2 linked regions of the Ovis aries genome follow. The protein of the gene in region 2 interacts with the protein of the main gene of each other region in a pairwise test. Links are inferred from orthologs where the notes say so. Each region holds a gene or a part of one and is shown on either strand. Other genes may lie near its edges.

Region 1 (4,637 bases), about 56 Mb from region 2:
ATTGTATAAATGTAGCAACATTTCTGTTGCAAATCTGTGGTGATAACAGTCTGGAAGATAATTTCCTCCGGAATATATTATTGATGAGACTGTAATAAACATGTGGGGTAATGGACTGATGTATTAATTGAACTGGGGAAGGCTTGTGGTTCATTGGTATCAGAGGATCTCCATCGTTTCTGATCTGGATTCACTCACTTATTTTAATAATTTCTGTGTGTAAGTGTGTGTGTGTGAAAGATACTAGGTTTATGTGGCTGCTAGGTAGAGAAATTAGGTTCTGTGTTGTACTTGACAACATTAGAATTGTTTCGATCATTTTTACTGAGCAAAGGAAATTCTTTAAATTCAGAACTTTCCAGCAGATGAATTCTATGATTATGTATACGTTTAAACCTTTCAGATTTTGACAGTGAAAGTGGAAGGCTTTCCAAAACATCCTAAGGGAATTATTTCACGCAGAGATGTGGAAAAATTTCTTTCAAAGAAAAAGAGATTTCCAAAGAACTACATGGCACAGTACTTTAAACTCCTAGAAAAATTCCAGATTGCCTTGCCAATTGGAGAAGAATATTTACTGGTTCCAAGCAGGTAAGCTAAAACTTAAAAATTTAATTACTCTATGGAAATTTACCATATATTCTTTTAGTTGTGAAAGTAACTTTGGTCTATGATGAATGTGCTAATTTTTTCCTTCTTGTGTAAACTTTGTACTGGAGTATAGCATTTTCTTTTGGTGAAGACTACATTTGACATTTTAAAGATGTAAATGATTTTATATATATAATTATTATTTGATTTGACAATGCTCAGTTTATTTAAGAAAGGTTAATAGTGGAGATTAGAGAGTGTTTGTGTTGCTGTGTGTGTATGTATGTTCCTCATATGATATTGAAGGAGTTATTAGGCAGATTCTGGAGAAATGGTGATTTTTCAACAGAGTCTTTAAATAATTTATGACTGTGAATTTTCAGAGGATATGGCCAACACAAGGAGTCCTAAATTCTAGCACTGTGTTGTAGAAATTTTTCTTACTGCCTTATAAAACCTGGGAAATGTTATAAAGTAAATGACATTGAAAAGTACAAATTGCAATGATTGATGGATGGTAACTAATTCTAAACACAGATATACACTTGATTCTAGGATATACATATTTTAAAGTTTTATGTAATCCCTTTACTTATTATACATAACTATAATAATTTATTTATAATGTAAATAGGATTACTGAAAAATCTTTATACATCACTTTATCTGAGCATGATTTGAATTGATTAACCATTAAATTTTGAAGTAGGAAGAGTATGTAGCAAAATAACATTACTAAAAAATAAAGTTGCTTAGAATATTTATCATCATCAATTCATTGATTTCAAGTAGTAAAGCACTCTGGTCAGCATGGTTGGGCGTTTTCTGAAGCTATATAATGATAGTGTGCTTTTATCTTTAGTTTGTCTGACCACAGGCCTGTAATAGAGCTTCCCCATTGTGAGAACTCTGAAATTATCATTCGACTGTATGAAATGCCTTATTTTCCAATGGGCTTTTGGTCAAGATTAATCAATCGGTTGCTTGAAATTTCACCTTACATGCTTTCAGGAAGAGGTATGTATTTAATGAAGAATTAATATTTGGAGAAGATAGTTAGAAAGCATATTAAAATTAATATGTCATTTTCCTAGAGTTTACTGGCTTGTAATGCAGCTGAAAATCAGGAAATAAGCTCAAAAGACCTCAGCATGGCCAATATAAAAATATACACAGATAAATTCATGAAATTTGTTAAGAATAAAATTCCTCAAAGTCCACGTGTACTTATTTTAGGCACATTTACAATGTGTATGAATATCTTGCTTTGCAAGCCAAAGCAGACTAGAAGCAGCAGTTTTAAAAGATGAAATTACAGAGTCACTGGCGTAAAAACACCTATCTCCCTGCACGTACACACAAATACGCATGCACGCGTGGAGAAATTAAAAACTAGAAATGACCACCCCCTCAGTCAGGGAGTTTTGTTTAATAGAGTAACAGGTCCTAACCATTCTCTGTGGGGACTACAATAGCTCTATTCTGCTGCATGGTCCCTGAGAGGTTTACAAAAAAGAATAAAGACTTTATCTTGCTATAATTATAAATGACAATGCTAGATCTTCCTCCTGGAAGAAAGAGAGATATTAGTGCTCCAAGGGGGAAAATATAATTTTTCTGTTTTGTGCTTAAAAGCAGCTTTATGGAGATGGTACTGTATTCTGAAATAAACCTTATCTTGCTTGCAGTTAATCAACATACAGATAGTTACATCACATCAAAGTGTTGATTTTAGCATTACCACCAACCTCTTTTTAAAAATTATGGGAACCTGTTTATGATTCTCTTTTTCATCTATTACATATGTTAAACTGCTTGACACCATCAACCTGAAATCTGTCTTAGGTAATCTACTGGGCATTTGTTTGTTTCATTTCAAAATTGAGGACAAAATATTTAATATTATATTTAACAGATAACATATCATTAACAATTCCAGTACTTTCCTTCAAAACAAATACATCTCTGTTACTGTCACTTGTAATATGTGCAGTGATTTTTTTTTTCCCCTACAGTTTATGGAACAACAAATAATTAATAGCTATATTTGGGTTCTTTTAAATTTCTTTCAGAACGAGCACTTCGCCCAAATAGAATGTACTGGCGACAAGGCATTTACTTGAATTGGTCTCCTGAAGCTTACTGCTTGGTAGGATCTGAAGTTTTAGATCATCACCCAGAGAGTTTCTTAAAAATTACAGTTCCCTCTTGTAGAAAAGGTAAGGAAATTAATTCAAAACGGAATTGTACCACTAAAGAAATCTAAACTTTTAAAAAGTTTCTATAGTTCTTTTCAATTTGTGACAGGATAAGGTTCAGCTAGGATGTTAATCAAGTTTTCTTTGGATTACATAGGCTGTATTCTTTTGGGCCAAGTTGTGGACCACATTGATTCTCTCATGGAAGAGTGGTTTCCTGGATTACTGGAGATTGATATTTGCGGTGAAGGAGAAACTCTGCTGAAGAAATGGGCATTATATAGTTTTAATGATGGTGAAGAGCATCAAAAAATATTGCTTGACAACTTGATGAAGAAAGCAGAAGAAGGTATGTATGTGTTGACGCAACTTACAAATGCTTTTAAGTGATTCTTTCAATATTTGCGAAGTGAGTTTTGAAATAAATGTAAAAATGGATTGCTCTTATTTACAAGGGATAAGTTAGAGGATACTATATTCAATTATAGTTAACAGTTCAGAAAAATATATTTATTGCCAGTAAGATCTTATACTTTAGATTCAGAAAAAATGTTGGTGTGAGAGTTTGAATACTGGCTACTGGGCAATGATATGTCATCTGTGAAGTGAGATTATTAACCAAAACTATGCCATACAATTGTTATGAAGATTAGAATAGATGATACATGGATGTAACTTAGTAATGTCAGCCATATGCTGTGTTCCATGAATGTTGTGAAAGTAAAGAATATATAATTTCCTAGTCATATATCAATAGCCTAGGCAGTTCTGAGTTCTACTTTCTAGTGAGTGAACCTAGGAATGAGTTTTTAAACTTCCAAATAGAGAGTAACTCAACTTTTAAAACATTCTCAAATTTTCTAGAGAAAAATAAGATTGGAAAGTGAACCTAAGAGTGATTGGAACGCATAGACAATATGTGATTATTTCTGTAAATCAAAAGGACAAATTTATGTACAATCTTAAAGGTTTATCTTTAAAAAAAAATGTTTTATGTACTTCTCAGGAGACCTCCTAGTAAATCCAGATCAACCAAGACTCACAATTCCAATATCTCAGATTGCTCCTGATTTGATTTTGGCTGATCTGCCTAGAAATATTATGTTGAATAATGATGAATTGGAATTTGAACAAGCTCCAGAGTTTCTCTTAGGTAACTGTTTTTGTTGGTTTGAGAATAAAAATTAGGGTATGGTTTTATAATCTAGCAAATATTCACATATAATTACATTGTCATAGTTTTTAGTATCTTCATATATTTTTGTAATTTTTTTCTTTGGGATAATATATTTTAAAGTAACGTGTTACAAATCTGGAATTTGCTTTGCTTGCACACATTTGTACTCTAGGTTTCCATCTCTGTGGAAGCACAGGTATTTATGAAACATATCCTTGCATTTGTTTTAATTGTTCAATTGTCAGTGATAGGGAAGGCAGTTAGGAAATTTTCAGAGGAGTAATTCAGCCATTTTCCAGTTGCAAAAAGAATAAATAAAGGAGGAACACCTCTATGTAGTGATAGTGGCAGTTATGTTACTCTATATAACAAGCATAAATTTTCATTAAAAGAGTCACAAAAACCAATTTGGGTTTAAAAATTCAAAAGTATTAGATTGGTAATATACTCAAGTTCTAAACATTCCCAAGAGTCCTTGGGACCTGAGAAGAGTATTGAATTTATTTAATGTAAAGTATTTAAAGACAATTCTGACTTTACTTTGTGGAGTATTTGTTGCTGTTATGAATATTTACATTTAATTTTAATTAAACTTTCACAGAGAGGATGATTAAAATATATGCCAGAATATTAATATTATTAATAAACCAAGTCTAAAATTCAGGATATGA
Region 2 (4,637 bases):
CCTCAAAACAATTAAAAAAAAACACACACACACCAGGCACTGTTCATCTGTTTTATCTGCATAAATGGTAGTTTATTTACTCGGCATCTCCAAGGTAACACTCCTTACTGAGGCTGTCTCATTTATTTGCTACGTCCTTGGCTATAAAACAACAGTTACAATTTCTATCAACTAGTTATCAGCCAATCAGTCCTGACCTACACAGTGTAAACTGCATCTGTAATATACAGCTATAACTATACCTTGAATTATCTCTCAGCAGACCTAAATACATTATCTCCTCGCTCTTTTTTTGGTCAGATCAGATATTAAAAAAAAAACTAGCAATCTAATTTTCATACATTAAAAATCTAACAACATTAGTGCTACAAGGAAGATGATAAATAATTATTTATAGTGATCCTGGTGTAATACTGCCTGGACACAAAAAGAAAGCAAATTATGGACAGTGGTGTGTGACTCATGATTAGAATGTAAACACAGATAAGATGTGTTGATAATACTTTCATTCCTATGCCACAGTCACCAAGTAATATTTACCAAAACAAAAACAAAACCAAAAACCATTAGATTAATAACAACATATCTTAGATGCTTTTAATTTTACTGAGATTGTGTTTTATGCTTCCCATTCTCTGAAACTTTTAAATGATAGTTACTAGTAAAAGAACTACTATTTATAGAGTACCTATTGTGTAATAGGTAATGGGCTATGTGCTTTACATTCTTTTCACCTAAAGATTCTTAAGAATCCTAGTGAGTGACAGAGCTGAGATTAGAACCAAGGGTCTGTTTGCTTTCAAAGTTTCCAACACTCCATGTAAACGAAACAAAATATAAAATGGAATATAAATGGATATGGGTGGACTGACAAAGTCATTCTAATATATGAGCAGAAGTTATTTTAATACAATACAATCTTCATTTCAATAGCACTAGCAAACAACTGTTTACTCAAAGATCATTTAGGAGAGAAAAAGTGCTGCCAGGTTCAGAATTCCAGCTTTATACACACACACAAGCAGAGTCATTGCATAAGTAGACTAGGATGGCCAGCTGGTCCAATAACTACACAGAAGAACCAGATTTTGAACTGAGCCCTGGATTACCTGGCTGCCATCTTCTTGTGCTTTTCGGATCATGTTTTGTCTTGAGTCAATCCAATAGAGTTGCTTGTCCAGGGGGTCATAGTCAATGGCCCGGACATTCCGAAGGCTGTGGATAGGAAGGATGATGTCAGGGCTCTGCTGTTCATCAATCACCATGCGGTTGATGGCGCTCTTCTGACTGAAGAGCAGGAAAGTAGTTGGAGCTTAAAGAGAGAAGGAAGCAAATATGAAACAGTTATCCTAAGTCTCAGATCACTCAAAGATTTGATTGGTCTGTTGTCTGTATCTCACAAAAACAGACATGTATGTTGAAGACCTGTATGAGACAAAGCCCTTTGGAATGCCTTCAGAACTCTTAGAGGAAACACTGATCACACTCTGGATACTAAACCAGTTATGAATTTTACGCTATAACACAGCCAACTAGCCAATTTTTCTCTGTCCAATGTCCACAGTGGCATCATCACAGGACACCTGATTTCAATGAAGCATTTGACAAACAAAATTCCCCTGTCTACCAAGTAAATAATCCTAACTCCTCCCTCATCTATTCTTGTGGGTGAAAGAAGTCTGGGTCTCCACAGGTCAAAAAAGAGACTTCAATAGTGGTTTTAGTTTCAGTTCTCACATAATTTAGTCACTTGATCTTAACTACAGCCTTCAACCTCGTGGGGTCGAAATTTACTCAACTAGGTTATGGTTATGCTGTCCTGCTCACTGAGTTGCTGTAAGAATTTTATAACACGAGTAAAAATAAAAAGGTAAGGTATCATGTCAATTGTACAATGTTGTTGTTCTTTAGTCACAAAGTCATGTCTCTTTTACAACCTCAAGGACTGTAGCCCACCAGGCTCCTCTCCATGGGATTCTCCAGGCAAGAATACTGGAGTGGGTTGCAATTTCCTTCTCCAGAGGATCTTCCTCACCCAGGGACTGGACCCACATCTCCAGCACTGGCAGTAGGATTCTTTACTACTGAGCCACCAGGGAAGCCCCAATTGTACAATACCTGAACAAAAAACCTATAAGACATTATATAAATGTCAAGTAAAAATAGCTATTGCTTATCATCAGTAGTGGCAATAATAAATGTGGTGTTAGTACGAATGAAACAAACCCTCATGGGTTGTAGATATATAGGCTTTGTTTTACACTGTGGGGATGTAATGGTTGCAAGGAGAGGGAACCATTAAAAAAAAAAAAAAATTCACACACTAGTTGATGCCTGAAGTCTATGAAACAGGGAAATGCAGCCGAGACAACACTTCCCTGTCCCAGGGACTAGGCCTCTGATTACTATGCAGTCATCTTTAAGGAGGAGAGTATCTAGAAAAGAACACCATCTGACAACGCTACCAAAAACTTCAAAGTCTAACAGTCTTTTTTAAAATCTTCTTTAAAACAAATGTAAAAATTCCCAAATTATACACTCTACTCTTGTTGGTCAGTCATCACCTAAATCCAGCAGAATTTTGTCCTTATCAGGGATATAAACACAAATGGCCAAAACAGAACTCCTTGCTTTATCTCCTCCTAAACCCCATTCTTCACAGTGTTAAACCTACACCCATATGTACATCAGTTTAAATCTTGAAGAAATCACTGCTTCTCACAAAGAAACTTGGTATTCACAACCCCGAAATTCTGCTTTAAGTTACCCACTGGCTCAAAGTCCACACCTAGCTTGGAAGATTTAAAAAATATTTCAGTGACTCCACTGCACTCTCCATTGTGTAGAGTCCAGAGCATACTGATTTAACAACTTTCAGCAATTTTAGTAGAACCAACACCTTAATTAGTAAGAATACATGTCACAACAGAGTAGTTAACAAGTCTCCCATTAAAAAAAAAAAAAAAAAAAGAATTATTTTTTGGCAGTACTACTTCCTTATAAATCAAGAAAATAGGGGAAAAAAAAAAAAAAAAGGTCCTGATAGTAAGCTTCCAACAAAATAGCATATTAAGACATACAATGAAACTCAGAAGAAAGACCCCATAGTTTTAGCTGCCTAATTTTCCTGCCTGGGAAATAATTAATCAAATATATATTGGGCTCCTAGTTATGTTTCACTTTGTATTGTTTTTTTCTTTCTTTGAGTCAAATTTTAACCTTTAGTAAAACATTTAGTAAGCTTTCACGATTAAGTGTTCTAGAAACATAGATGATGACAAAGCCAAATATGGCTCCAAACAAATACTCATTTCAAAAAGTCTATGGATGACATTAATTACAGTTGGCTAAATAGTTCCAGGAGGAAGCTGATATTTTGACTTATTTACAAAAGGGACAAAGAATATGCAGTTCTGTAAGCCTAAACCCATGCTAATTTATGTCACCTCTAACCACCACCCCCTCGTCTCTTGCAGAAGGCTTCAAAACGGTCCTGTCGGGCTGTCTCAGTGTTGCACTCCCACATGCAGAAGCTGGAGGAGAAGGTGTAAGCAGGCAGGAGCTTTTCAGCTCTCCTCTGAAGACACAAGTGTTCGCCTAAAGCTTAAAGAAAGGTACCACTCTGGTATAAGAACATTGTAAGTGACCAGCCCAAGCCCACCACGATGGATTGTGCTATCTCTGAGCTGTGCCAAAGGCCTCAAGCGGACTTAAGTCCAGGCTGCACCTGGGTAGCCAAGTCAAGCACCTGTGCAGCTGCATGTGCCCAGAGGAAACACCTTTTCTCAATGTGCACAAAGATGCCACAAAGGCCAACTGCTTCAGTACTGAACACAGGATTACACAATGTGGCCTCCTGCTTCCTCTCTGACTTAATCCCTTTACACTCTGTTCCAGAGACACTGGCCCCCAGGTGTTTCTCCAACATGCCAGACATGTTCCCCTCTGCTTGACAGGTCTTCTCCCAGGGAGCCAGCAAAGCTCATTTCCTCACCTCCCTCAGTACCTGACATAGTGTCACTTTTATGCCAGGACTTCTCTCGTGATCCTATTTAACATCAAGATCCTCCTACGCACCCTTTCCTGCTCATAATTTTCTCCATAACACTCATCTCCATCTACCTCATGATACAGTTTACTTATTTAGTTCATTATCTATCCTGATGGAACGTAACCTCCACAAGGGCAGGGATTAATGTCTGTTTCATTCAGCAATACATTCTTCATTGGCTCAAATAATGCCCAGTGTGGATTAGCTGTTCAGTAAATATTCACTGAAAGAATACACGAGTAAACAAATGAAGAAAAAGCATGAGATGACATCATTAAGGAGAGCCCTGTAGCCATGATTTTGAAAGAAAACAAAATTTTTTCCAAGAACTGGGGGAAAAAAAGAAACAAGCATTCATTTAGAACCTCCAACATGCCACACATCATACTAGATGTCTTCTAGTCCCCCAAATTATTCCACTTTACAGGTGAGCAAATAGAATAGTTAACTAATTTGTAAAGAAAGGTTAAGAAACTGTTCCCAGGTCACAAAGCTGCTGAATGGAAAAGCACCTGTTTTTCCAAATCCTGTCTTGCTTCTTCATTCTTCTACTGAACAATGATTTCTTGAATGACTATTATTTACT

Evidence for each region. The genes of interacting proteins can lie anywhere in the genome.
Region 1: the proteins of LRP6 (region 2) and LRRK2 interact in binary tests that used the Homo sapiens proteins (3 or more experiments, as listed by UniProt). The link is inferred for Ovis aries from reciprocal best matches to the Homo sapiens genes LRP6 and LRRK2.

What each region holds. Positions count from the first base shown.
Region 1 is NC_056056.1:146,885,956-146,890,592, reverse strand, and holds part of LRRK2 (leucine-rich repeat serine/threonine-protein kinase 2), read left to right. Parts: intron 1-403; coding exon 404-591; intron 592-1,453; coding exon 1,454-1,608; intron 1,609-2,663; coding exon 2,664-2,810; intron 2,811-2,946; coding exon 2,947-3,138; intron 3,139-3,795; coding exon 3,796-3,942; intron 3,943-4,637. UniProt on the Homo sapiens protein: Serine/threonine-protein kinase which phosphorylates a broad range of proteins involved in multiple processes such as neuronal plasticity, innate immunity, autophagy, and vesicle trafficking.
Region 2 is NC_056056.1:203,329,239-203,333,875, reverse strand, and holds part of LRP6 (low-density lipoprotein receptor-related protein 6), read right to left. Parts: intron 1,313-4,637; coding exon 1,110-1,312; intron 1-1,109. UniProt on the Homo sapiens protein: Component of the Wnt-Fzd-LRP5-LRP6 complex that triggers beta-catenin signaling through inducing aggregation of receptor-ligand complexes into ribosome-sized signalosomes.